4 linked regions of the Schizosaccharomyces pombe genome follow. The gene in region 4 interacts genetically with the main gene of each other region. Each region holds a gene or a part of one and is shown on either strand. Other genes may lie near its edges. The genes, in order: set5, hel2, sap18 and mca1.

Region 1 (7,004 bases), on a different chromosome or scaffold from region 4:
TAGAAACGTTTACGAATGCTTCAATAAGATGACAAGCGTCCTGTTTCGATAAAAGGTGATTGGGATCATTCTCCACAAATTCCGAAGCCAACTTTCGGACTTCTTTTTTCATCCAAGGGTTTTTCGTAAACAGCTCACTATAATGAATGTCAAGGAGAGTGATAAGTTCGGAAATGGAAATCTGCAACCATTGTTAGAGAGGAAAACAAGATGCTTCTATAGAAATGATTTAACTTACCTTCGAATGGGATATCTTGGAGATCTGTCCAAACAACTCTTGGCTTTTCGTCAATTCATTAGGAACGGAATTCATACTGCAACAAGTGAAACTTAATAAATTTTCAAAAATAAATTTTGATTTGAAAGCAAATAGTTCTCGAAGGGATTGAATTTCTTCCGGCGAAAGGAGTTTAAAGAAATTTAATTTTAGATGCAAAAGAACAGTGAATCAGAACAAAAAAGGAAGTTAATAACTCGATTTCGCTTTAATAAATAAAAATATTATCATAAACACATTAAAAATTCTATCAATAGACCTTAACTATGTTTTTTATACAGAAAGGAGTATGCCGTCAGTCAAGTTGTAACTATATTATCATTTCCATAAGAAAACTTCTTGTTTTTCCTATTGATTGAAAAATTTACTAATTAAATAGTATCGTAAACTTCAAGTAAAATTCATCAACTAAGTCGTAAGGGACTAATGGTTGAAGATGAACGAAGACAATTTCATAAAAGTTATCGAAGTAACATGTGACTTGAGTTACCAAATTATTGAAAAGGGCATGTAGTAGTAAATATCAGAAAAAAAGTAGGTAAATAATAACAAATGTAGGCGAGTTAGAATAAGATTCGTTCTTTTTTATTATTCCTTTTTAATCAACAATTTGTTTTTTTTTATTGAACCGAAAATCATCGACGCCGAGTAAGAAAGAGTGAGATTATAATAATCCTTGACATGAAGAATTTTATAGTGAAAAAGTATCTCTGATCTTAAAACTTTCATTCATTTTGTCAAGGTCTGAAATGGGGCACATTGGTCAAGTTTCATTTTGTTCACCCTACGAAATACCTATGCACATAATTCACACATTGACAAGGTACGGAAATGCCGAATATTATAATAAATCAAATTATTTCTAGTTTACCCTTCAAATCCTAAATCTCAAAAACTCTGGTACAGTTTCTTTTAAGTGATTTAACTTACATTAACCGAAGTGACATTTACAATTTTCGTTTCAAACAATATCTACATATAAAGTACTGTGTTATGAAGAACTGGCCATAGCAAGATTTTGCTCTTGAGTTCAGTAATTCTCTAAGTTTTAGTATACCAATTCCACATGCATATCGAATAATGCGCATCCTTTTATTTCATTTTAGGTACTTTTTCATGATAGTTTGACATTTATTTTTTAAATCTAAAAAATAATAATAATAATGTAATGCAGAAGCTGTTTCAGGTATCAACATACCAATAAATTCTAGGATTTCAATCTAAGCTTAATCACAAACTTGCGATTATATTTTTTGGTAATGCTAAACCATCGTTTGAAGGATTTTTTAAACCATTTTAATTACGTGTTTTGATATCTTTGATACGGTAAGAAATGGAGCTTTTGTTTCGTCAATTGCCAATCTACATTTTTCTTGTACGAAGGATTTTATAAAAAAATATGATGACAAAGTTTATGATTAATTCAAGATCCTTGACAATAAAATATAAACAAATTGCTATAATTAATAATAAATTTAGGAATATATTTAAAATGCCATAACACTCTGAACATTTTGAAATTCGAATTATATTCCTTTTCTTTTTTTTTTTTTTTTGAAAATTGACAGATCTCTTGGGAAAAACAAATTGTGATATAACCAATTGGGGTTAAAAGTACAATAAAAGAAAAAGAAATATTGGAGTAAATAGTAAAGAACTATTTTCAGCTTTATCCATATATATTGGATTCTTTTTCTCTATTTTTTGCAGCGTATTTCGTAACCACCAAAATCTCCAAACTTTGAAAACTTTAAGCGTCCATGCGTTAATGTATTGCTTAATCGTACTACATGAACCCGTATGAAACAGAGATTTATAAAGTTGTCCCCATTCCTAACAAAGGAATGGGTATGATTGCAAAAGTAAAAATCCCCGTCGGTACAAGAATTTTTGCAGAAACGCCTTTGATAAGGACAAAAAGTGACGCTAAGGAAATCGAGGAAGCACTGTCTACAAAAACAAAAGAAGAACAGGAAGCTTTTCATAGACTTTTCAACGCTCATCCAGACACTATGGGACCATTCCTTGGGCCATTTTATTCCAATGCGCTGACCATTGATGAGACAAAGGGTGGAATGTTTTTACTTGGTTCTCGAATGAATCACGATTGTAGTCCTAACGTGAAACATACGTGGAATCCTAGACTTGATCAGGTTACGGTTCATGCTGTTCGCGACATCGAGGCTGGCGAGGAAATACTTACGACATATATAGACTTACATAAATCACATACGGAAAGACAAAAAATATTGCTCGAGCATTTTGGATTTAAATGTTATTGTAGTGTTTGCTCTGTAGAGGAACGAAAGATTAGGAAAATCAGCGATTTAAGGAGAAAGCAACTGGCCTACTATGACCGAACCATGGCAAAAATGTGTATAGTTAATCCAAGAGGTGCTCTAAGAGCATTGAGACATAGGATACACATTGCCCACGAAGAGCTTCTTTTCGGTCGGTTAGATATAATTGCACTTCTGGATGCCTTCCGATTATGTGTCATCCACGGTGATTTTGAGAGAGCCAGTATTTTTGCAAAAAAGGGGACTAAAGCAATTAGTTTGTATGAAGGAACTGATTCTGAAAAATATTTGAAAATTTCCAAGTATGTAGAGAACCCACGAAGTCATGCTCTTGCTGAAGGAGTGCCTGCTCTACCATTATTTTTAGAAGAGGATGATGAACTATCGGATTTGGAAGATAATTTATGGGGATGTAAGCTTGAAGAAGATGTTTATAGTGATACTGATTAAGCATGGGGTAAAAAACTACTGTTTTTGTTTTTATTGGAAAATTGGGCATGTATTGTTAATGCTCGTCTTAACTTTTAGTTTGATGAGCTTGGGATTGTATTTATTCTATTGAAAAATTATAAAACTTTTATGGATGATAAAAACCTGAAATTGAAACTATCTTCCTGAGATCCTAGAGTTTTTGTATCTCCTTTCTTTTTTATAAATAAAAAATTTAGAAACCTATTGGGGTTTGGCATGAATTGTAAATGATTGAGAATATTTTAATATGGAGAATATTCAGTATTTAGCATAGAAGTGAGTACTGATTTAATTCATACAAAAGGTATTTATAAAAGAAATTTATAAGAAGGGTTTGCAGTATTGAGTAATCACTTCCTATCGAGTTGTAAACATTATTGTTGAAGAGATTTAAGCATTTGGTGCATGTTTGCTGATTTTTTTAAAATATCCAAAAAATAGATTCGGTATTTTGAGCAAAAGCCGATTCACAAATAGAACCAGTAAATCAATAAACCAAATATTCCTTATTATTCAAAACAACAAAAAATTTCTTCAGAATTATACACATTCTTAAGACACTGCTTTTGTAACAATATATAACATATTCTTTAACCTCTAAATAATAAATGCATCAGTGGTGTAGCGGTAACATCAATGCCTTCCAAGCATTAGCTCCGGGTTCGACTCCCGGCTGATGCAGTTTAATATTTGCTTTTTTAGATTATCTACTAAAATGAATATCATTCTACTAAAACTATATTGGATAAATGAATCATGAAACGTGTATCAAAATGTTCTAATACAAAACTGATATGTTGATTCTATCTATTTGTTCATCTATCCTTACATTTAAAATAACAGGTTATGATTGTGTATCTTTATTTAGCAGTTGCTAGTAATACAGATGAGTATAGTACACAAATATCAAGCCAAAATATCTTTCCACTGACCATTAGAATTGTTTTAAATTAAAATCATACTAAAAATAAAAGAACTGCTGTATACAAACAGAGTAAATAATGAACTGGCCCCTGAACAAGTACAAACCAAAAATTAAACCATGAATAAATATTTTAAGAAGAAACAACGAAGATTAAACTGACCGCATATTATCCAAAACAACCTAAGAACATGAACATTGAGGTCGAAAACAGTAAAAGACTTGCTAAAGGAAGATTAAAGACGAACCTACTACATATAATAAAGGGAAAATAATTCATATAGATAGTTACGCGGTGTTGCGAAGGGTATTACAACTGTATCCAGTAATCAGCAAACCAGGGGGGAGAGACTCGTACTTGTTGTATTCTTCCACAACGTCTTCCAAAGTAGAGAAAATGAACCTTTGATCAGGGCAAGAGACGCGCTCAGCTATACAAACCGGTAACACTCTAGGCCAACCGCTTTCAATTAGTGCTTGCACAAGAATTTCTAGTCGGTGTAAAGCCATTAGGAAAACTGTGGTCTGTGTAGGGACAAAAGAAGGTATTTTAGGCATCGAACCCTTTTGACCAGTTCCAGTACACACAAGAAATTGATCGGCCACTCCACGATGTGTAACGGGAATACCAGCAGAGATAGGGGCCATCAAAGCACTACTGATGCCAGGAATAACCGTTGGTACATAACCGTGTTGTGTAAAGAATAGATACTCTTCACCGCCTCGCCCATAAATATAAGGATCACCTTGCTTCAAACGGACAACATAATCACCTCTAGATAAAGCATCAAAAGCAACCTGGTGAAGTTCATCTTGTGCCTTATCCGCATTTCCAGGAAATTTTCTAGCAATAAATAGTGGAGTATGCCTTGGAATTAACTGTAATACCGCTTCTGGTACCAGCTTGTCGGCTAGTACATAATCGGCTTTCATTATAGCCTTTCTGGCAGCAACAGTAAGTAAATCAGGAGAGCCAGGTCCACTTCCAATTAAAGCTATTGAACCTCGCTTATGAGTAGGAAAAGCCTCAGGGTCAAGCGTCAATGAAGGCTTGTCCAAGGTGGTTGATAAACTTTCATAGGAGTTGGCAAGTGAAGAAGATTGGCTTGATGAGAGTGGAAGAGAGAAGTTGTCAGAAACTATGGCAAGAAGATCGTCCTCTGTCATCCGAACCAACTTCTCGAGGGGCCAAAAATCACTAACATGATTGATCCACTGTTTTTTTTCTGGAGTTTTAGTGATCGCTCGCACTCGGCCAAAACGCTCAATGGCTTCTGGCATACCGGAAGGAAGGCTACTCACCACGTGTCTCAACAGCCTTTGAGCTAAACGACAACCATTTGATGAAGTACTTAAAGAAATTTGAAGAGGTGGTTCTGACCACGTAGCTGGTAGAGTAAAGGAGCACAAAGAAGGATTATCAATGATGTTTAATGGGATTCGGTACCTTTTGCACGTACGATGTAAAATTTCCTTTTCATGGTGGTTGGACTCTGACACGAAAACAGCATCCACCAAAAAATCTGTCTCCTCCTTTCCCAGCGTCGTTAATGAACGAACGGGATCAAATTCAGAAATGGGAAGAATTTCAATAGCATCCGATTTTTTTGCGTCAAGCTGAAGATGACCAACGTCAAATCCACCATCAGCGGAGCTGCGACAAAACCAAAAAATTTTAGAAGAATTTTCACTTAAACATAAATTCACCCGTCGGTAAGCATTTTTTCCTGAACCAACGACTACAACAACGGCGTCTTTCAAGGACCAGGAAACAATCATTGTAGTAGTTTCTAATAGGTTAACTCAGGTGTACTTGGTAGAGAATAGGTTTTTGCCCAAAATTTTTTTTTAATCTCCAAATATTGCGTCAATCTTATTTTCCAATATATATATTTTCACTTCAATTTTTCACAATTTTAGTCACTTCGTTTTGGATTGTCTTGGTGGAGAAGAAGAGCTGCTGGCTGAAGTACTGCAAAAACCAGACTTTGTTGTTCTACGCAAAAATGCGGGAAAGAAAGGAAAGAAATATCTCATAAACCAACAATTTAGCCTTTAGCTTAAGTTACAAATTTTAATTCTTTCTACGAAGCAATCGAGCAATTGATTGCAACACTATTAAACTGATTGATTAACTTGTAGAGAAAGACAATTGTGCAGTGGTCGTTAAACCTCGGTAAATTGAATAAAGATTTTCAACGATAATGAAAACAATAAATAAATTTTGTACTTCCGAATATCGCTTTAAATCCTCTTTACGTATTACAACAACCCGTTATCCGACCTCCTTCCTTGTTCTTTTCGCTTGATGAGCGTTTGAGGTCTTGCCTACACTTTATATGACTGCATACATCAATCACCAAATGATGGCGCAATTTGCTGCAAAAATGATTGATCGTTAAAATTTTTTTGCGGAATACGGTAATCAACCAATAACCATACTTCTTTAAACCAGGTAAAGTACCAGCGGTAGAGCTCATAAAATATTTCTATCAAGGCATCGTTATTGCACGATATAGTACAAAAATAACCTTGCTAGTTAGTACATGACGAGTCCCTTAGTCACTGTAGTTTTTGCTAATTAACAAGTTAACTTGCATGATAGCTTTCCTCTAGCTTTGGGGAAAATTTGGCTTAGTAAGATAATGAGTAAAAAGTTTTAAGGAAGTACGCTTTGATATTCACAAAAAAAGAAAATGCTTTCGAACTGCGTTACTTAAGTATGAATGCAAACATCTGAATCCTCATATAAATAACAAACCACAATAAAAAAATGGCCCACTTGTAAATGTCATACTTCCTCCTAGCCAAATCAGAGATGTTAATATATATTATGTTTAGTGATAATGTTGCTCACATAGGCCTTAACGTTAACGAATTTTTGTAAGCGCTAAACGCATATTTTCCGTATTCATAACTTTACATTTTCTTCATGCATGGGTGAACTCTCTGTTGACGGCGAGTTTTCTTTTCTTTTTTTCTAAAGATATTTCAAGAGGCGAATCGACTTTTTGAGTCAAGCGAACAAGTGTAG
Region 2 (6,375 bases), on a different chromosome or scaffold from region 4:
AGTTCGTCAACTTTTAGAAGAAAGAAGAAAGGTAGATTTGAGTGCGCATAAAAAAGACTTGAATGCGCTGATTTTGAAATGCTTTGATGAAACCGCCGCACCTTCAGAGAAGGAGAGTTTAGGTAAGATGAGAATATTGCTGGAAGAAATTTGCAAATAATAATGCAAGAAATAATAATTAACCAAACTTGTAGAAAAACAAGCACCCGCTCGCAAAACCAAGGGTAAGAGAGCGACGGAAAATGGCACTGAAGAAGGCAAGAAACCAGCAAAGAGAACCCGAAAACGCAAGGAAGATGGAGAAGAGGGTGGAAAACGCAAGAGGAACCAAGATCCTGCCAACAATCCTCTGAATAAGCCTATGAAGTTGTCCCCTAAGTTGGCCGAATTTTTGGGTCTTGAACAGGTAAGGCGGTGTTGTAGTGTGGAAGCCGTGCCTACTCGTTCCATTCAAAATCTTGTTGTTTTGAAAAAAGAGGCAGGCTTACATACTAAATGTTTATTTGCACGCTTTCTCTGCTGATTGCTAACTAACGTAGTTATCTCGTCCCCAAACTGTGAAGAAGTTATGGGAGTATATAAAAGCACATGACTTACAAGATCCCAACGACAAGCGAACAATTCTTTGTGATGACAAATTGAAAAGCGTTTTCGAAGTCGACACTTTGCATATGTTTACCATGAACAAGGTAAGTTAATCATGGATGGGTTCACAATTGTTTTAAGGAGGTTTGTCAACAAACTTTTACTTTGTCGATTGTAACTTTCCTTGTCTACTTTTTTCATTTGGTTACTTGTGGAAAACATTCCGCATTGCTCTTTGTTACCTGCTGCCGAAGCTAAGCTAACTTAATTAATAGTACTTAACAAATCTCATGACGAAGATTCCTGATGATCAATTGCCCAAACCTCAGCCTAAAAATGAAGAACCAGCGGCTCCGAACGATCTTCCCAAGCAGGAGGAAAAAGAGTTGGTCGAGCCTCCTACCGCCGAATCCACCGCTTGAGCCTTTGTGTTTGCTGCATGACCATATAAAACAGCCAAAACTTTTTTTCATATAATATCTTGCAATAATCCCTTTTTTTTTTGTCTCCAAAAATCATTCAAGTTTTTTGCTTTCATTGCATGCAATAAATGTTTATTTCGTTCAATACTCGCTTGCTTACCTGTTTTTCCTCAACAGATTTTGCCTATGTCCATGTCATATCCGTGCTTTAATACTAGAGGCTATGTATGTCTAGAGAGTCTCCACGCATAATCAGATATCGTATTTTGCATTACAACTTTCTGATCTTAAATGCAGTGTGAAAACAAAAGTTCAGGTTGCTGACTTTAGACCTTGGGTTGCTACAAGAGGTAATTTACGTTAGACTGACTGTGATTTTACGAATATTTCTTATCACCTATTCCTTATGGATATCTTTGTGCTTTTTTTTATAAATTCATATAGCATATTGATTTTCTTTTCTAAATGAACTGTTGTGCATGATGGAGATTTTCATGTATTGTATTAACACTTTCTTCACCGCACCTTTAATTATTTTACCGCTGCTTTGCTCTATAATATCATTGAAATAAAAAATGATTCACTTCAGCCCATTGTCGGGGAATTTTGTTTACGAAACCACCGTCGCTTGGAGCTGTCGAAGCCATATCATCAATAATAAATTTTATTTACTACCCTTGCGTATTACAAACCCATAATATGATGTTTGCTTTACAGTTTTGGATGATCTAAGATATGGCTTGGTTGTATGACTAGTACTCGTCTTGTGTCTATAGTGTATATATTAAATTATACGCAAATGGATGTTTTCTGGATATATGCTTTTAAGTCTCAAATAATGTACTGTCTTTTTAATTTGTTTATTATTTTATTTTGGGATTTTCTTTGGGGTTGCAAACCTGTCATCCGTTTGTTAGAGTATGTTTACATAAACATTTTTGTGTGCTTGTGGGTCGTTTTTTTTTTGGAAGATTGCTGCTTATAACCGTCAAAAGACTTATAAATTGATTAGACTGAGTGGAAAGTGTTCTTCTCTTTTATATTAGTCCTTAATGAATATACTTATTATTGATTGAATCATTTCATGGTGTTTACGACTTCTAAAGATCCAATCACACTTTAGATGAAGCCACATTTAACAGTTGTAACAATTGCATTTATTTGTAGACAGGACAACGCTTGCTTACATACATACACGACTTCTTGTTTAAGCACAAAGTAAAAAGATTATGGCGAAAAAGTTAGGGGAATATTTTTTTCAAAACAAATTAGTAAATTATATAAGCCCTTTATAAGAGATTGCTATTTACTTCCGCTGTACATTCAATGCTATATACGTTTCTAACAAAATATTCGATGCACGTTTCAAAAATCAATTCAGAAGCTTAAAAACTTTCCAATAATGTTGAAATTATAAATATATTCTTAGTTTGCGATATTCCAGCTAATTCAGAGGTCTCCAGCTAAACTGTTTTTTTTAGCATACAGCAGCTCGCTTTACGAAATTTTATTTACCCAGCGCCATACACGCAATCTTCTATAAACAATCAAAATGTCGCCTTCGGGCCCCAATTTAAATAATAAGGAGCACAACAGAGCATCGGAAAAAAAGAATTCTAGGACTCATAATAAAAAAACTAATAGGAATCGTACGTAACTTCCTTGTTGACATATTCCTTTTAACACATTTCAAGAAAGTAAAGAGAAACCGGTAAGCTCTAGGTCGGTAGAAACTCCAAAAAATGCAGTTTGCTTAGAGCCGGTTGGCACAGATCCTGTCAGTAATGTCGCTACTGTTGATGCTTCCAAAGAAGAACAGGATGAGGATGAGCAAATTTGCTTCATTTGTGCTGAAGGTATTACTTACAGCTGCGTCCTTCCTTGCAATCATCGTATGTCTTGTATCATGTTTTAAAAATGTTACAACTATGTTTAATCTAACTTAATTAGGAATGTGTCATGTTTGTGCTTTGAGATTGCGAGCGCTATACAAAACGAAGGAATGTACGTTTTGTAAAACCGAATGGGATACGGTTCTCATTACTAAAGATCATGAAATCGATATTCATGATGTCGATTTAGCAAAACTTCCTTTCCAAGATGAGAAACTTGGAATTGTGTATTCTGACGAGCATGCTCAAGAAGAATCCAACCTCTTGCTTCAATTCAACTGTCCAGAAGACGCTTGCGATATCACATGCAAAGGCTGGTTTGATTTAAAGCTGCATGCGAAGGTCAAACACCATAAGTTTTTCTGTGATCTTTGTGTTAAGAACAAAAAGGTTTTTACCCATGAACACACGCTATTTTCCAAGAAAGGATTGACAAAGCACAATGAAGTTGGAGATCAGGGATCCGATTTAGAGATTACTGGATTCAAGGGTCACCCGAAGTGTGAGTTTTGTAATACCCATTTTTATGATGATGATGAGTTGTTTAAGCATTGCCGTGAAAAACATGAACGATGTTACATCTGTGACCAAGTTGCAGGAAGGCCGACGCATCAGTACTTTAAAAATTATGATTCGTTAGAGCGCCACTTTGAAAAAGATCATTATATTTGTCGTGAAAGGGAGTGTTTGGAACGTAAATTTGTTGTTTTTGGAACTGAAATAGATTTGAAAGCGCATCAGTTGGATGAGCATCCCCACAACTTTACTCAACGCGAACTTCGAGAAGCACGAAGAATTATTCCTCAATTTAGTTACGACCCACCCGGCGCGTCCGGCAGGAACCGTCGTGAACGAACTTCTTCCACACCATCCGAACAATCTACTTCAGTGAATGAGACTGCCAACTCACTCTCTAACCTACACCTTTCCCGTGGAGAGATTGCTCACTTACGACAAGAAGAATATGTTCGCGAGCAACAAGCTCGCCATCGTGATTTTGGTTTCACGTTATCAAATCCGGCGCCTACATCTGCCCGCCCAGCGACATCTACTAGAACCATCAGCAGAGGAAAAACTAGAACGTTAAGAAACGAAGATTTCCCCTCTTTAGCCGAGGTTGCTAATCAAAATAGCTCTTCCGCACCCTCAGTACCTGTCTCCGCGCCTCGTCTGTCTGGTAAGTCTGCTTCAAGAAATCATGTTCCATCTCCACCCAAGGGCACTAAATCCCCGATGGCCTCTTCCGAGCAAGCACAACACCAACAAGTAATTGATCGGATGCAAAAATTGACGAATTACGATGATCACAAAATTAATGACTTTAAATTTGCTGTTTCTTCCTTCCGTGGTAATGTTATGCCCGCTCGTGAAGCTGTTGCTCGCATTACAAAATTAGTTGCAAAGCCTCATGAGCAATTGTCGGGCGTGTTCAACCAAATAGCAAATCTTCTAGAAAATAAAGAGAAGTCAAGGGAATTGTTGGAAGCTTGGCAGGAATGGAAAATACTGAATGCGAAAGATGATACTCGTATAGGTACTACTAACTCTAATCTTTTGCGCTTGAAGAGATCAAATAGGACTGCTGCTCAAACAGCTAGTGTTTGGAATCGTATTGAGCGTGCAGCAGCTCACGATGGGCCTTCTTTGTCTGCTCCATCATCTTCTATAAACCTAGCAAATATTACCTCAAGGCCAACGAACAGCTCAGCTGCAAATACTCCTTCTTGGGGTGTGCGCAAAGCACGTGCATCTGCGTTAAATGCAAGATCTGAAGAAGATTTTCCCGCACTTCCTCCTTCTACCTCGAAGAGAATTTCTGTTCAACTCGGAAAAAAGCAGGCTCGTCCCGTTGATTCATGGGGGTCTACACCAAATACTTCTTCCAATCGTAATAGTAATACGATGGGTGTTTCAAAGAAAAAAAACGGAAAAAAGCAAACTGTTTTGTTTCACATTGGTTGATTTTGGTTTATTGTATATAATAATTTTATTGATGGATGGGCATTTCGTTAATATATAATAATTTTGGGATGTACTCATTTATAATCTAGCACTTTATACCTTTTACCTGACTGTTGGGTTGTTTATCTGACCTCATAAAAGAAAGTGTCGTTTTGGAAAAATTAGCATTACATTGAGGGTCCTCCGCTAATGCTCCTGCGAAAAATGATTTTAATTTTGGATGTTTTTTCAGAAATAAAATGAAAATTAGCTTGATATAATATCAACCGGCAGCGAGTAATAGATTTAAAATAAATTTGATTAATTAAAAAAATTTGTTGTTTTAAGCAAGCCATTTTGCTAAAATCAAAGGTAATGGAAGAGTATTTCCGAAAAATCTCAACACATGTGAATGATCAGAAAATTATCGCCATAAAAGACAGAATAAGTCATCAGCGGTTGTTTCATTTCCTATATTTTTTTTTTATTTTTTTATTTTTTAATAAGGGAAAATTTAACGTCTAAGGATACAGAAGATTGTTAGCACATTAAAGTAATAAAGGCTTAAGTAGTAAGTGCCTTAGCATGTTATTGTATTTCAAAGGACATAATCTAAAATAATAACAATATCATTTCTCACAAGTTATTCAATTTTCTTTTTTTTTTCTAATAATATCAAGAATGTATTATTTGTTTGACATAAGTCAACTAATTTATTTAATATGCTGGATTAATCTTGCAGACATGTAAATTAACAAGTTTTAGTCAAATAACGTTGAAGTTTCAATGAACTCAAATAATTTCTCTTTTTTTTTATATAACCATATGTCTAATCTGATTTATATTTTCCGCAGGGATCAACTGAAGTTATGACATTTGGATTGGATCACTTATAACCTTGGTCGCCAAATAATACAAAAATCAGCGTTATAAAACAAAGAAGGTTTTTGTTAAGAAATTAATCCTCTTTCTTGATAAGAAAGTTGAACCGAAATTGCAGATACTGATATATGAAAATAATACCCACAATTTTGGGAATAGCGCAAGCCTCAATTTAAACAATAGGTGAGGACACATGATAATGACCTCAATGATTGTTAGAAGAAAAGAGCCTCATTACAAAATCGAAAAATGAATGGTTGGGTACAAGTTTCCAAAACATGGTAAAGTGGACTTTGCGTATGAGACGTAAATAGAAAAAAACACTTGTTATATGTTTTCTAGAATTATTGTTGTCTCTTTATGGTTGGATGATGCAAAATAGTAATTTCGGTTAGTTGCTGTAAAACACCACGAGACAAATAGATATGGATATTTATTAAATCAGGAAAAACGTAACTCTCGGCTACTGGATGGTTCAGTCACCCAACGATTACTGGGGAGAGAAAACAGGGCAAAAGCAAAGCTTAAAGGAATCCGATTGTCATTCGGCAATGTGCAGCGAAACTAAAAACCGGATAATGGACCTGTTAATCGAAACATTGAAGATATATAAAGGAAGAGGAATCCTGGCATATCATCAATTGAATAAGTTG
Region 3 (6,826 bases), on a different chromosome or scaffold from region 4:
AATTGTTTTGTACGTTTAATAAACGAGATTTTTTTTCCTAAGAATTTATTTCATGTCCCGAAGAATACGCACTACAAACATTAAATACTGGATGCTCTTTTACAAATGGGATAGAAATGCCTATGGCCTCTTCCTTTGACTGAAAAAATATTTTCTATAAACAGAGGAAATTAATAAACAAAGTAAATATTCAAATTGTGAAATTAACACTCAGCATTTCTTATATAGAGGCATTTGCAAGCGTAGATTTTTTTAGCTGTATTAGGATAGATAAAAAAATATCGGTAAAATAATAAAGTACTACCTAATCGTTTTTTAATGCTCGCTATGCAGTTCAATATTTTTTTACCGATACGCAGGACTGCATAGTTAAAATTGTGTATTGCTACGCGTTGCTAGAATTCCTTCATGCTCTACAGAATTTAGCAGATTTGAGAAAGCATATCCTAGGACTAAGTGTTGTCGTAAACGTGGTCTTACGGTCGTTCAGGAATCACTGCGTTTAATGGTATCTTTCCCCAAATATGTCTAAGGCAAATATTTCTTCCAAATTAAAAAAAGTAGTTGAGTCCATCTATAATCCAAAATTGGCGGATTCTTGGGACAACACTGGGCTTCTGCTTGAGGCTCCTTTCCCAAGAACAAATGCAAGTTCCGTACTTTTGACGATTGACTTGACTGAGAAAGTTGCTGAAGAAGCTATTTCAAATAAACTTGTATCATCTATTGTAGCATATCGTATGGCGGTTAACCTTCTACTTTTATTGTTTACACAACTTACTCACAACTAGACCCCATTATCTTTCGTGGGCTTAAAGCCATCACGATGGAGGATCCCCAACAAAGAAGCCTTTTAAAACTTGCTGCTGAAGGAATTCACGTTTACTCGCCTCATACAGCCGTTGATGCTGCTGTTGATGGAGTAAATGACTGGCTGGCCCAAGGTATAGCTGGAGGACGAAACAACATTAAAAGCGTGGTCCCAACTCAGCAAAATTCTGTCATGGCTGAGGCAGAAGGTTACGGTCGAATTTGCGAACTGAAGATTCCTACAACCTTGCGTGAATTGGTCCAAAGGGCTAAGGAGTTAACCGGCTTGCAATATGGTGAGCTTCTTTTTATCTTTATTGTTAATATTGTTAACCTATTTGATTGTAGTCCAAGTGTGTGCACCTAACGGATTAGATTCTCATATTTCCAAGGTTTCTTTATGTGCAGGTTCTGGTGGATCTGTGGTTATGAATACGGATGCAGATCTTTACTTTACTGGTGAATTGTCTCATCATCAAGTTTTAGCTGCGATGGCCAAAGGAATCTCAGTTATATTATGTAAGGAAAAATCTGTTCAGTTCACCTCTTTGGTATTATATATTATTCAACTAACAACAATGTAGGCGGACATTCCAATACAGAAAGAGGTTATTTAAAGGATGTAATGTGTCAAAAACTGGCTTCATCCTTTCACAAAGAAGGAGTAGATGCAAATGTGATTGTATCTTCTATGGATGCTGATCCTTTGACTACCATGTAGATTTACTAAAATAAAAAGCTGTTACTTATTTAACATAAATTGAAGAAATGCTAAAATTAAATTGCATTAATTTTGACTTTTCACAAAACTCATAATTTGTAGATTCTTCTTACTCTTCTATATGAAGTACATTTTTTAGAGAACCAAACTGGTTGATCTTGAACCAGGTATATTAGGAAATTTTTGATTTATGTTTTACTAATATAATATCGGTCATAATGATGCCAAAGCTTCAAAAACTAAGCTTTGTTTAGCTAAATAAAAAAGTTTCAATTATTTACTCTCCCTCCGGGATTCGAACCCGGGCTGCAAGCGTGACAGGCTTGTGTACTACCCCTATACTAAAGGAGATTATTGAAAACTTATTTTTTTTAGTTATACATATTGTAATACTCATATTAAATTTAAATGAAATTAAATAATTGAAGGAATATACTTTGGATTTAGTTATGAAACGAAGATATCAGCTTAAAGTTGTTGTAAAAATAATAAGTGATTTTGGGCTGTTAGCTTGTAGCACCGATTCAGAAAATAACAATTCAGCTTCTTACAGCTGTTGCAAACGGAGTAACCTTGATTCATGTTCATTTACTCTAGCAATGATAACATCGGGCTGTAATAAAACTTTATAAATATTTAAGTCTGTTACTTGCCTGAATTATAATTTAACTGTTTACAATCCGTTTTCTGTTTGTATGGGTTGCGAATGGTTTTTTAATTGTATTTAGGCAAAAAAAAAATACGAGTTTTATATTTTGAAAATAGTTAAGTAGCCAAAGGTGAGTTGACAGCATTTTTAAAGGAATAGATATTTACATTATGAGGATCAATGGTGCATTTATCATGCGAATATCAACCATGTTAATAATAGAAGTTATAATTCTTTTTTGAAAAATAGTTTCAATCGGATTTCCGAATGTTAGCGCTATTAAACAATGGAAAACATTAACCGCTTAATCCATCGCTTCAAAAAAAATGATAAAAGATTCTGCTATTTAAAGTGTTGAATCCTTTCCAATGTGAATTATAATAAAAAAAACGCTTTCTTTTCCTACAGCATATATATAAATTTAGCAGAAGTGATTCCTGAATCCTTGATAGGCCTCGAGCTAAAGTATATCTCCATAACTCAATAAGGAAAATAGTAAGTACACTAACAATTTTTTCTTAATGCGTCAAAGGTTTTTTTAAGAGTATGGGAAAAAAAAATTTCTCAACTTAAAGAGCTTCGAATCTTTTCAAAGCTTCAAAGCTTATAAACATACAATATGAGATTAGTGAACAGGGTTGTAGCGGTTTATGATTTTGTATATAAATAGAATTAAGATAAGCTTTTAAATAAATCTTACAATAGAATTCTTCAGTCATGCACTTCGTTTTTTATATCGTTCTCAAACCCATTAAACTTCCAAAAAATATATATGTACCATCCGATCAAGGAATCACTTTTTTATTCTAATTTTATCCTCTTTTATGGTAACATCAATTTTGTCTCCGCATTTTATTCCCGTTCTTTTCAATAATTTGTTGCCTTGAAATAGCTTTGGATTGTGCAAACAAACAGTACCTAGATCCCTGGCTATCGGGCGATCTTTATACTTATCGTAAAAAATTGTTCTAATTTGCAATGACCATTCAGAATGTCTTGTTTCTTCGTTATTCAAAAGAAGTTGATCTGCAATGAGAACTCCCAGTTCATAAAGGGTCATGGTCAACCTAAGATTAATCGTTAGCATAAAAGTTTAAGATTTGAAACATATAAATCTAATTGACATATAAATTGTTCATGGATGATCCTTTGACGGATTTTCTAATCGTAGTCCCAATGAAGTATGAGTTCATATACAACAACTGAAATTTTCCCGTTAACACGATTTACTTACCATCCATAAACTTGAATAGAAGGAATCACGTCTTCAAAGATGTCTAAAACATGATTTTTTGTTTGGAACTGATGATATACTGAAATGAGAAAAGGGCACGGACCAACAGCATCTTCACTTTGGCTTAATTCAGGAGATTGAGAGCGACTTTCACGAATATCCATTTCTAAACCTCCCAAATGGATTTTTTAAAGGAAGAAATTGAACGTAAACGTCGCCAACTAGAAGGAACGAGCGAACTTCCGGTAAAAAAGGCGTTTCGACGAGGGGATTGGGAGAAGGAAAGGGAAAAGAAATATCTGCAGGAAAAACAACAAAAGGATGAGCAAAGAGAGTTGAAAAAAAGAAAGTTGGAAGAAGAACGTCTTAAATATGAAGAAAAGAAGTTACGCATTTCACGACTTGCGAACAAAGAGAGCAGTAGAAATGAAGAGTTGCTTACAGAAACAACAACTCCCTCACCAGCTGTCAAAGCGTCACCTGCAAGTACAAAATTATCTGTCTCCGAAAACGACCGTTTATCAATACCTGAAATCACAAAAGACAACCTCACGTTGACCGAAATTATTGCAAAGCTTCGTGAGATGAAAGAGCCAATTCGTTTGTTTGGAGAGTCAGAAGAGGCTACCATTCAACGATATTACAGTTTGCTAAAATACAAAAAACTGGAAGAAATTGAAAATGAACTCCTTACTAAAGGAGTTGAAACAATCGACTTTGAGCATGCTACTACCACCAAACCCAAAGTATCCAAGCAAGTAGTTGCTTTTCTTCAACATGGAATCCGCATTTGGGACAACTTTTTGTCTTCAAAATCCATCAACTCTTTCGAAAGTTCTGAGAGTCAGATGCAATTAAAAATATTTCGTCAAGCTAAGCAAGATCTTGATGTACTTATACAACTGATAGTCGATGAAGCTTTAAACGACGATATTTTTAAAAGCATAGCTGAAATTTGTTACAGATGCCAAAAACACGAATTTGTCAAAGCCAATGATATGTATTTACGTCTGACAATTGGAAATGCACCTTGGCCTATTGGAGTTACTATGGTTGGTATTCATGAAAGAAGTGCACATCAACGATTACAAGCAAATCCAAGTTCAAATATACTTAAAGACGAAAAGAAGAGAAAGGTAAGATTTTAGATAAAGTACCCAGTCTAACCTTTCACATGTTAGTGTTTGCAAGCTTTAAAGCGATTTATTACTTTTCAGGAAAGAGAGTCATCAAACTTACCTGAATATACGGATTGAAGTACGAAAAAGATGCTATTTGTTGTCGAAAAAGAATTTAATTATACAGTTCACACTAAACTTTTGAAAACGACTATGTCAAACATGGTTTACTAATGATAGAATATTCAAAAATTTCGCCTCTGAATTGGCATGAAAGAAACTACAATGAAACAGCTTCTGATATAACGAGAGGCGAAACATTTATAAAAGACAGAAAAATATTAAGTATGCCACCAGAACTCAGTCTTAAAAAAGCAGAATGTGCTGTGCAAATGAACTCATCTTTAATGAAACTCTACATCCATACTCATTATTAGGAAAAAATTTTTTGTTAAAAGATGACGAGAAAAAAAATTTACTAATATCCATGAGCGTTTGCTAATAGTCGAAAGCACCTATATTCCTAATATTTCAGTTTTAAACAATAAGTTTACTCCAAATCCAAATCATATTCTGGTTCAATTGACTTTTGTTTTCGCTGGCTTGAAGATGCTTGGGGAGTTGGCATAGGAGGAGCAGGGCCTCCCATACCAGCAAGTGCAGCCATTGGATTCATACCTCCAGCTAATCCAGGTTGCTTTTGCATTTCCTGCATCATTTCCTGGAACATATTTTCAGAGATACCACCGCCAGATAAAGCAGGTGAATGAAGAGGTAAAATCGTATTTCCTAAAACCCCCTTAGGATATGCAGGAGGATTTTCAGGAAGACGTGCGGGAACATTTTGAATAGGTAACGATAAAGGATCTGTCTTAACAGTTGGGCGAAGAAGTAGTACTTTGGCGATTTCGTTTATGACATACTTTTCTACATTCACAGTCAGTTAGCATACGAGAAAATAAAACTAATAACAATCTTACTTTGTATTTTTTCAGGTAATACCATTTCGACTCGACCTGGATTGACCCAATCTGCAGGATGTGTCTTCAATGGTTCCAATTTACATTTATATCCCAAATCGCGAACAACATCGGCAATATTTTTAGCTAACGGATTTAAAATTGCTTTGTCTTTTGGTACACAACGAAACCTACGTGGACGGCTCTTGTCAAAGTAAATGGGATATAATATGATAGATGGCATGTGGATGGTGAGTGAGGTAGTTGGCAGCAAATGCGATATCATACTTATGCTGCTCAACCGTATGTAGTAGATAAATACGATTTTACTTTCAACTTACTACTGAACATTTCAATTATTTTTAAAAAGAAGACGTTTTTCATGATTAACTTAGAATAAAACTAAGAACACTAAAAAAGTAAAATCGTATCATTCACTGGGAAGATCTTAAAAGAATACAAAATATATTAAAAAAACGATGAAAGAGAGTGTGCCTGATTGGCTTAAAGGTGAGATCGGTTGAATCCTACAAATGAAATCAGTAAAATAAATTGGAAGAAGAATTAGACTTGTAAAACACAAATCTGAGTGGATATCTTTTAAAGTAATACAAACGCTCTGTTGCTAATGATGCATGAGTGCTAAAAATTCCCTCTCGCAGCAATAAACCGATATGTAACGATGTATGTATTTTATGATAATTGACAAAGTCTCATCAACTATATTAATGGAAGAAGCCGTACACAAAAATCATGTAAACGCCAACAATTTTCTACTTAATTTTTTTTTTTGAAGATAATAAAACGGTAATTTTAAGGGATCGGTTTCAGGCATAATAGGGAAGCTGGATTTAAAAGAAAAGCGAAAAGGTAGTAAGAATATGGATGAATGAAAGGGGAGGAAAATACCTTCAAACAACAATGGTCCTTAATAAAATGATGTATATACACATGTATATTCCTTTTGCGGGCATGAAAAAAATCGCAATGGGACACATGATGAATAACCGAACTACGATTAAATAAGCAATTAGTTCACGGTTTCCGAATATATTGACCAAAAAAAGGAAATTTTCAAAGGAATTATTGACGCTTATTATTAGCCAAGTCTAAAAACCAGTGAGTTAATAAGGCTAAAATTTCAGTGTTTAACAAATCATGGCTTACCTCTACGACAAGCATCAGCTAATAAAATAGTATCAACATATGCACTTGACATATGGACGTAACGAACAACGCTACCACGAATAAACAAATCTTTAACAGCAGCCTAATAAATTATTAGTTATAACTCTGGAATAATAGCACGAGATAGTGTTAAGAGTAGGAACGAAA
Region 4 (9,434 bases):
CCTCAGAAGTTTGACGTCTGCCTTAATTTATGCAATTCAATATAGTACAAAGCCACTTTATCAAGAAATCATCTTCGGAAGAAAGCAGGCGTCCGGGATTTATTGACTATGTGTTATCCATTGTCTCTCCACCTCTTAAATTTTAAGGTACTTTACCTGTTAAAAGGCGCCTAAGAGAGATTCATCCCGCACATACATGTGCTGGTAGAAAGATGAGTATAATTTATGATATGGCTAACTTTAGGTGAGGTTTGCTTTGAATTTATGGAATAATAAATGTAAAAAAGGAACTTTGATTTATCTACTGGATTGAAACTTGTCCTATTCATTTATTCATTTTATAAGAAAGGCAAGACTTGTTTCGTTAATTAACAATTGTCAATTATTAAAATAAGGCTTTTAATATTAAAATTAATTAAATAAAGCAACAAATGAACTCTTCAAACAACACTCATCATACTTAACTATTTAATTATCCGTGAACACTGGTAACAACCAATTGGGTAGAACCGAACGCCAATAGTAAGAGTAGCTGTTTCATAAATCTGATATTTTTTAATAAACTCATTAATAATCCAATTCACCTGTCAAAATTCTATTCCCTCCAAGTCGAGGCCTAGAATGATATATTTTGGCGGAAGGAGATAAATCCGTTAAAAAAATCAAATTATGAGTTATATCACGTTAACCAAAGATGAATGCTTTCGGAGCTACAAAATGTATTTTGCTTTTAAAGTATAACATGTTGGAACTAATTTAGTTGTCCTTTTGTACCAAAAAAATAAAATTATTATAAAACTTCCAAAAAAAACATAATAATAATAATATTTGGGATAAAAAATACGGGGTTTTTAAATTCTAATCTTTAATAACTAATACGACAAACTCATTTGTACTGTATCTAGAAGAAAATTTCCTTTTGAGCACTTTTCTCCTTTAAGTCTTCTTACGATGTACATTATTTGAAGTGACGTAATGTTTCGTTATATCGGGATAGTTATACTTGCATACTATTATAATCTGGAATTGTGGTAATTCCAGTGTTTAAGAACGCTTACTATGTGATCAAGCAAGTAGCATTTAGTTAGATTTCTTGAATACAACCACTACTGGTTGATTATAGAACTGTTAATATAGCTACAAGTATTGCAGAATGCATTTTGTGATTCTATAAATAGTATAACAATAATAATAGATATTCTTGTTTCTTATCGATTATCCCATATCTGATAGTTGTGATGTACTTTATTTTTTGTTAAATAGTTTTTCACCCTGACGACATATATTATGAATCTCAAAGTACCAGTTTCAGCGGCGTTTTCGGAGCAACACAGGGTCGTAGTTATGTCTGTTGTCTTGTTACATACCAAACATTATTATGTATTATTGACTTGATCACCTAAAGAGTTCATCCTTTGTCATTTAGACGTTGAATTGAGTGTTGAAACGTAAAAGTAATAACTTTTTTTTTCTTATTTAACATTATAATTTTTTACAATATCGGTCGATACGCTTTCCGGACATCAAACCACCCCCTTTAATTCTGGCCTCCTATAGCCTCTTTAGCAAAGAATAGATTGAACGGTTTAGCAACATGTCAAAGTTGCAGAACAAGACGAATCCATTTGCAAAATATTAATTACCAACCTCATTACGATATTATGCTATAAATAATATGCTTAACTTACTCACCATTATATCGTTATAAGATATGTCCTGTTGGAAAAACTAGCTAGAGAAACCCACGGGCACGTGGGCCTTTTAGTAGCAGGTAAATCAATGTCAGTATTACTTTGTATATTGTAGAAATGAACCGATTTCATGCTAGCCGTTTTGCCATCGTAGTATAAGAAAGGATGCTAAATGAACATGGACTTTGTAGCTGAGCGCAATACATCTAAATTCATTAGGAAAATAATTAATGAAAGGTTTCATGAAATCATCTCTGGTTGTTTCAAATTTGGACAAAAACGGGATTTCGCTTTTCCCAATGGGTACGGAAAGCGAATTCGTTTACAAATGTTTTAATATGAAACTTGAGATGTCATATTTACATAATTTCGAAAACCAAAAGTTATAAATGTAGCACTGAATTGCTGTAATAAAAAACAATATAAACTATTACTTTTAAATACCACTTTATCTGTTAAGAAATATTAAAAAAATACAACTTCGCCTTTATACACTCCTCGTCCCAAGTTGAAATTGTCGGTCCGATATTTTCACTCATTCATTGCAATATCAGAAGACTTTTGAACCTTAAAAGTTAAGAAACTCATCATTTTAATTTCTATTACTTTTTTACGACATTTTTGGATTCTTCCCTTTCTCGAAGACATTATCTAAGTAATCAATAAATTCTCAATACGATTTAACTATGTTCCGCAACTACAATTGGTTTGACGCAAAAGAGCCCATTTCATATGAGTCCGAAATTTACGCTAAAGGTCTCAAGTTTCAAAGACCCCAAATCACCGTAGATGGCAGACACTGGGAGCAACTGGCTGTTGAGCGAATGACCAAGGATGCCGCCGGCTACGTTTACGGATGTGCAGGAAAAAGAGAGACATATGATAAAAATATGGAATCCTTTAAGAAATGGTCCATCATTCCTAACCGTCTCATCAAGTCTGGTTTCCCCGACTTGTCTACCACTGTCTTTGGCCAAAAATATCCTTTTCCTATTGCCTTGGCTCCTGTAGGAGTACAAAAAATTTTCAATCCAGAGGGTGAAAGTGGATCGTGTGCCGCTGCAACTAGAGAGCATATACCCTATATTATCAGTACTGCGTCTGCAACCAGCTTTGAAGATATAGAAAAGGCTAGTGGTCCTGGAGAGAGATGGTATCAACTTTATTGGCCAAGCAATGACCATCAAGACATTACCATTAGTTTGCTCAACCGCGCCAAGAAAACGGGCTGCAGAGTTTTGATAGTTACTCTTGACACATTTATTCTTGGATGGCGTCCCTCAGACATGGACAATGGTTACGATCCATTCTTAAATCCTGACAGCATCGGTGTTGAACACGGATTTTCCGACCCCGTTTTCCGTAAGCAGTTTAAGGAGAAGCATGGTGTGGAAGTCGAAGAAAATATGTTAGAGGCAGCTAAAGAGTTTGCTGGAATTGTCTTTCCTGGAATCAGCCATGATTGGGAAGACTTGAAGTTCCTTCGTAAACATTGGGATGGCCCAATTGTTCTCAAAGGTATCATGAATGTTCCTGATGCTAAGAAGGCAGTTGAATATGGCATGCAGGGCATCGTTGTATCAAATCATGGCGGTAGACAACAAGATGGAGGTGTTGCTTCCTTGACGATGCTACCAAAGATCGTAGATGCTGTTGGTGATAAATTAGATGTTCTATTTGACTCTGGTGTTCGTTCAGGTGCTGACATTGCCAAGGCCCTTGCATTAGGAGCTAAGATGGTTTTAATCGGTCGTCCCTATGTTTACGGGTTAGCCCTTGAAGGTTCATCCGGTGTTAGTCATGTCATTCGTTGTCTCTTGGGAGATTTGGAATTAACGCTACATCTATCTGGTATTGTATCTGTGAAACCAAAGGACTTAAACCGTGATGTCTTATATAAGGAGGAATAAATTTATGCATTAGTTAATGATCAGCAAATTTAGTTTAATTCCCGTTATACCATTTAATATTTATTTACGCTATGAGTAATATAAAACTACCCATTAATAAGAATATGAGTAACTTATATTAATAAGCATAAAAAGCAATCAATAAGTGTTATGAGAAACTGACTCAAGTAACCAGTTCCATCAATATCATTAATTTCGAGTTCGTGAATAAAAGGAATTCCAGGGGTGTAGAAAAAGTAAAGCATTATAAGCTTTTTAAATTAGAGTGCTAGTATACAAAAGAATAAAGAAACAAAAACTAAAGAAACTATTGTACATCGTATAATTTACAATCGAATACTTCTTCCATTCATGTCTTCGAACACCGTTTCCTTAAAACCCGCCTTCCTTTCTGATCCAAACATTTCCTCCCACCAGCGACCGTCATCTAAAATCGAAGTGATCAGTGGGTCTACGGGGACTTCCTCATCCAGAATAGTATCAGTTCGTATTTCAGAAACACCCATAGCAGGTGTCGAATTCCCACTTTGAGTATCATCGCCATTATTCAAAAGCTCGTTTGTTCCTCTTGAAAACAACTCTTTTGAAAATGAATTCAGATCAGGATTAGACTTCATCGACTGATCTTCCACTATACCATATTCTAGAATACATAAAGGAAATCCTGGAATTTTGAAATTGTAAAGTGACTGTTCCTCTAAATACTGAAAGCGGTAGAAATTATACAATCTCTGAAGAGTTACCAACATTGCTTGATTAATTTTCCAATATTTGGATCGATCCTGTAAAATCTGATGATCAACGTGTACAAGTCGAGAGGAAGAAATGTAATTTTGGTCGATGTTGACAACACAAAACTTAAGAAGCATATGGATAGTAGCAGCAGTCAATATACTAAACCCCACAAATGGGCTCATTATGTAGTTTAAGGGGTCCTTTGAAAGTTTTGTAATGAAATCAGCAGAAGTAATGACTTGATCTAAAATCATATCCATCCATACAGTAGGAGGCTGTTGTCCGAAGCGTTGTGAAACAGAGGAAAAAAGTTTGGATTTCTGCCTCGACTTCTCAGGAAATAAATCTAAGACGTTTCTCAGAAGATAGGTCAAGGTAGTGTGATATAGCAAATGCATAAAAGTGTAACAGGCACCAGCCGATTCTCCGGGAGAACTATACGCCGAATAGTTAGTGTATGACCAAACTGCTCTTGGAGGTAAATTTTCATGCCAGGCTTTTAAAAGCTCAAAGCTACGATGGAATTGAGACTGATTTAGCCAAGGGGGTGTGATATCTTTCGTGTATCCACCACATAGAGCCCATCTTGAGATCTCACTCCACAAATTTGACAAGCGGATTAGGGAACCCGTCATAAACTCCAGTTGTAAACTTCTTTGGTATGGGGCCATTGAAGTGGTGTCTGACTGAGTGTTTTCCGGTAAAGATCCATCAAATAACTCAGTAAGAATTGGCTGATTAAATAAAAAATTAGGTTCCGGACAAGGTAATTGTATACTAGTCTTTTGAAGAGATAAAGAAAGTGAGCGCAATTTTGAAGGTGCCATGTAACCTGTACTTAGCAAACGTTCGACAAAAAAACAAGCCCAATAAACCCTTCTTTTCTGCTCGGCTTCAGTCCATGAAACAGTGTTGGATCCCATCGTAAGAGGATTATCATTTATTTCGTTACCAAGATCTAAAGAATCGACCATACGGAGAGCCATACCCAGTAAAAGCCAGGCTTTAGCGCCTCTACAAGAGCCCAACTCAATTAAGCAAAGCAAGAGCAGGCAAGTGATATTAGTCAGTGAAATATCCTGGAAACGACAAGGAAGCAGTGAAAAGGCTTGGTTTGCGTAGTAATCAGATGCTGCAGTTGAAGATTTAAATCTATTGACTTCCTCTTGACTGAAACGAGCAGCGTGAGCACATATACAAAGTACGAGGACTGGCGGAGCAGTATCACTTGCAATTTGAGACGTAATTTGGGCCTTATTAAATATCCCAAAAAGTTCGGTATATGAAGTTTTAAGAAATATGTCCCAAAGCTGTAATAACTTTCTACTGGTTGGTAGCCTTAACTGCTTCTGATAGTCACCAAAGCTATTAATAGAGTAAGTAAAATCCATGTTAGGAGATGATGGAGAGAGGATCGTAGGAGAAAAAGGATGAGAGCCCAGATACGGTTGCACTATACCAGTAAGAGGACTCAAGGTTCTGGCAGCGGAAGATGGCTTTTTGCCTCGCATATTCGGTCGATCAGGCCAAATGCATTCAACTTTGTTGTTACTGCAAGCTTGACATGATGGCTTTTCACCAGAACACTTTATTTTTTTCTGCCTACACCGAATGCATGCCTGAGATACTTGACTGATTACTCGCCTTTTTCGAGGCACAGCATCTTTTTCGACAGCAGCAATCATGTCGAAAATAAAATACTAAAATGAAGTAATAAAATATTCTGTGTCCTTTTAAACCGTTTAAAAACCTAGATAATCGAAGAAATCCTGCGTTGAGTAGACAGGTCTTAAAAAAGAAAAGAAAAGAAAAGCAGACGTGCCAATTGTCTGATCGTACGTCTGTTAGAAAAAGCTCACGAGCTTAAATCAGAAAAAATAAATAAGCAATAAACGTAAAGGCTACGAACAGTCCTTTCGAAAAGTTTGCAAGTAGAAAATTAAACATAAACAATAATAGACTTAAGTGAAAGAAAAAAGGGGCATCTAGGACTACACAAGTACGCTTTTTCAAAACACCAACATCACAGAAATATTTTGATTAAAAACACACTCGAAAAGCTATAAAATTCAACTGAAGTCGTGGTATCACCTGAAGGGTGAAGATCATAAGAAGGTTACAAAGACCACATGGGAGTAAAAAGCCCATCTAGGGTAACATAAATAAGCCCTCAGTTGTGTTCAAAACTACAGCAGCAAAAATAAATATACATGGCCAAACATCGTTTTTACAAAAAGTTAATAAATGAACCTATTAAATGTACTAGTGTACGATGGATGTAAGGAAATTAGGGCTGTATAAAGAGATAGGTTGCTATAAAAAATATTTCGTCAGTCTACCATTCACAACTGTACCTTCAACTTGAATATAATTCAATCTCATGAGTAAAATTATAAAATAATAAAAAAAAAACGAAGATTTAGTATTAAAAATCTCCATAAATGTGTTTGGAAAACGCTGGACACTGAAATTTTAACGATGAATACTGTAATTTAGTTTTCTATTGTGCTATTTGGTGCTCGTCATTAAGTCAATAACGAGACTATGCACCAATTTCTTGAATCTTCTACCAGCGTCTTCAAACGTGTCTATCTATTTATTCTAATAAATTTCTATAATAGACACTTTAACTTATTTTTACTTATTTATTAATGAGTATTCGAGAAGACAGGAATCAGGATGCAACTATATATCTTGGCAATCTTGATGAAAAAGTAACGGATTCTATTTTGTTTGAGTTATGCCTGCAGGCAGGTCCAGTTGGTATGTAATTATTCGAGTGTTGGTTGTATTTGTGGCTTTCGATACTAATTCATACAGTAAATATTCATATTCCAAGAGATAGAGTAAGGAATAGTCATAATGGCTTTGGTTTCTGCGAATTCTTACACGAACAAGATGTTGAGTATGCATGTCAAATTCTGAATCAAGTAAAGTTGTTTGGAAAGCCTATAAGGGTCAATAGAGCTAGCCAGGACAGAGGAGTCAATACCTTAATTGGTGCAAATTTATTTGTTGGCAACTTGGATCCTCTTGTTGATGAACGCGTATTGTACGATACATTTTCTGCTTTGGGACAACTTGTCAAGGCACCTCAGGTAGCAAGAGACGAGAATGGAAGGTCGAAAGGTTATGGTTTTGTTAGCTACGATTCTTTTGAAACCGCTGATGCAGCCATTGAGGCCATGAATAATCAGTTTTTAATGAATAAACCAATTACCGTGTCATACGCCTTTAAACGCGAAGGAAAGGGTGAACGTCACGGAGATATTGCGGAAAGAAAGCTAGCAGCAGCCGCTAAAAAGAATAAAGTTGCCGTTACTCCTCAGAGTACTCTGCCTCCAGGATTTTCACCCGCCACTCCTGCTCCAACATCTGCTGCTAATACTCCAGCAACAATTGCTGCTACATCGATACCTCCTGTACCGAATGTTCCTCTAGTGGGAGCAACTACTGCCGTCCCTCCCTTGTCAATACCTAATGTTCTTCCTTTCACTGCTGCACAGCATTTCCCTGGAATGCCTGCTATGCCAATGATGAATGTTCCAATGGGCCCTGGAGGTGCACCACTTGTCCCCCCTCCACCACCAGGAATGGTGATGGCTTCTCCTTCTCCTGCTGCTGCTACCATACCTGGTGCTCCTGTAATGCCAAACATACCATTTTATCAAACAATCAATGCACAAAATGGATACAGTCAACAACAAAGGAGGTAAAATATTTTAAAAAGAAGCAAAATAACTACCATTGTTGCTCAAACGCCGGCATAGTAAAATAGCTGAGATTGATCCGTATGGTTGATTTTTTTTTTAACGTGTACAGTAAAAAAAGTGGAAGCTGAGATTTATCTTATTTAAAAGAAATTAAAATTGATGTTTGTTTATATTTTACAGTTTGACTTTTTCTAGTAATGAGTTTTACTTCGTCCCTAAATATCGGCAATATAGTCTATAAACGACGCATTAATTCAATCCAACATATTTTCAGATACATTGAATTATGTATACAATCCAAACGAAAGTATAGTCTAAGCATTATATTAAATATAAGCTGCTAATCTCTTGACCAATATTAGTGAAGTATTATTTTTGACTCGTTATCCCGTAAAACTAAATAAATCAAGTACACGAAGACTTGTGTCAACAACCATATAGAAGTTTTTTGCATAAACATTGGTAACAGCTTCTTATTCGACCCTTTAGAAAACTATAAGAAAGCATTCAGCACAATGCATCTTCTTTATCAAATTGGTTTGTTTACCTGTTTGTGGCTCACCCAATATGTTGGTGCGGAAATTGATAATTACGATGAAAATCTAGTCGGAACTTGGTCTTCCAAGTCTGAAACTGTTTTGACTGGCCCCGTAAGCTAACTTTTGATTTTCAAAAAATTGTCTAACTAACCCTCTGCAGGATTTCTTTGACCCTTTGGATGAGGATTTCTTCGAACCTGAATTACCGGGTATTAGTTATAGCTTTACTGATGATGGCTTTTTTGAGGAAGCTATTTACATAATCAAATCAAATGGTATGTGATAATACTCTATAATATGTAAAATCTTCTCCAGTCAACACCTACAGTGTGGTTGATCCAAGGAATTAAAGCCGATGAAGACGTAACTATTGGGATATACGGACTACTTTCTCGTTCATGTTTAGCGAAATTCCCCAAGTAACCAACTTTCTTCCATTTGGAAGGATATGTTGGAGAGAAGATATTATTTTTCTTTAATATTTTTGCTAACCCAATTTAGCTACAAAGCCTCAATGTCCCAAAGGCTTTTTACAATGGCAGCATGGAACTTATGCTATCAATGATACCGGTACTTTAGTATTAACTCCGTTTGTTGGAGACGGACGACAATTAGAAAGCGATCCTTGTACTAGCAATTTTTCTGTTTACACCCGTTATGATCAAGTTGAAACTATGGAAAAATATGAAATTTCTATGGATAGATACCATGGTCGCTACAAATTAGAGCTCTATGAATGGGACGGAACACCAAAGCAGCCAATGTTTTTAGCTTACCGTCCACCTAAGATGCTCCCTACCTCAACTATTGCCGTTAATACTATTCAAACTGCAGCAAAGCGCTGGA

The links.
Region 1: mutations in mca1 (region 4) and set5 together harm fitness more than expected from each alone (negative genetic interaction), as found in Schizosaccharomyces pombe (one large-scale study listed by BioGRID).
Region 2: mutations in mca1 (region 4) and hel2 together harm fitness more than expected from each alone (negative genetic interaction), as found in Schizosaccharomyces pombe (one large-scale study listed by BioGRID).
Region 3: mutations in mca1 (region 4) and sap18 together harm fitness more than expected from each alone (negative genetic interaction), as found in Schizosaccharomyces pombe (one large-scale study listed by BioGRID).

The regions. Positions count from the first base shown.
Region 1 is NC_003421.2:2,033,694-2,040,697, forward strand, and holds set5 (histone lysine methyltransferase Set5), read left to right. Parts: upstream 1-1,985; 5' UTR 1,986-2,067; coding exon 2,068-3,027; 3' UTR 3,028-3,300; downstream 3,301-7,004. Other genes in the region: protein Dms1, read right to left, coding at 1-181, 239-313; met1 (uroporphyrin methyltransferase), read right to left, coding at 4,259-5,749. UniProt on the Schizosaccharomyces pombe protein: Histone methyltransferase that monomethylates 'Lys-5', 'Lys-8' and 'Lys-12' of histone H4 (H4K5me1, H4K8me1 and H4K12me1, respectively), thereby controlling gene expression and remodeling chromatin structures.
Region 2 is NC_003421.2:1,832,054-1,838,428, forward strand, and holds hel2 (ubiquitin-protein ligase E3), read left to right. Parts: upstream 1-2,520; 5' UTR 2,521-2,559; coding exon 2,560-2,656; intron 2,657-2,701; coding exon 2,702-2,899; intron 2,900-2,957; coding exon 2,958-4,861; 3' UTR 4,862-5,411; downstream 5,412-6,375. Other genes in the region: RNA polymerase I upstream activation factor complex subunit Spp27, read left to right, coding at 1-122, 195-406, 540-689, 861-1,007. UniProt on the Schizosaccharomyces pombe protein: E3 ubiquitin-protein ligase that plays a key role in the ribosome quality control (RQC), a pathway that takes place when a ribosome has stalled during translation, leading to degradation of nascent peptide chains.
Region 3 is NC_003421.2:2,137,597-2,144,422, forward strand, and holds sap18 (SAP128 family histone deacetylase complex subunit), read right to left. Parts: upstream 3,594-6,826; 5' UTR 3,579-3,593; coding exon 3,415-3,578; intron 3,248-3,414; coding exon 2,974-3,247; 3' UTR 2,287-2,973; downstream 1-2,286. Other genes in the region: SPOM_SPCC126.12 (NGG1 interacting factor 3 family protein), read left to right, coding at 525-738, 792-1,106, 1,159-1,329, 1,395-1,531; U5 snRNP-associated protein Prp18, read left to right, coding at 3,594-4,550, 4,596-4,670; putative signal recognition particle subunit Sec65, read right to left, coding at 5,083-5,459, 5,513-5,735; lsm2 (U6 snRNP-associated core protein), read right to left, coding at 6,575-6,600, 6,659-6,761.
Region 4 is NC_003424.3:2,982,409-2,991,842, forward strand, and holds mca1 (transcription factor), read right to left. Parts: upstream 6,446-9,434; 5' UTR 6,022-6,445; coding exon 3,928-6,021; 3' UTR 3,602-3,927; coding exon of another isoform or gene 2,378-3,601; 3' UTR 2,325-2,377; downstream 1-2,324. Other genes in the region: SPOM_SPAPB1A11.03 (L-lactate dehydrogenase (cytochrome)), read left to right, coding at 2,378-3,601; U2 snRNP-associated RNA-binding protein Sap49, read left to right, coding at 6,988-7,099, 7,157-8,052; chaperone Rot1, read left to right, coding at 8,565-8,699, 8,749-8,863, 9,090-9,434.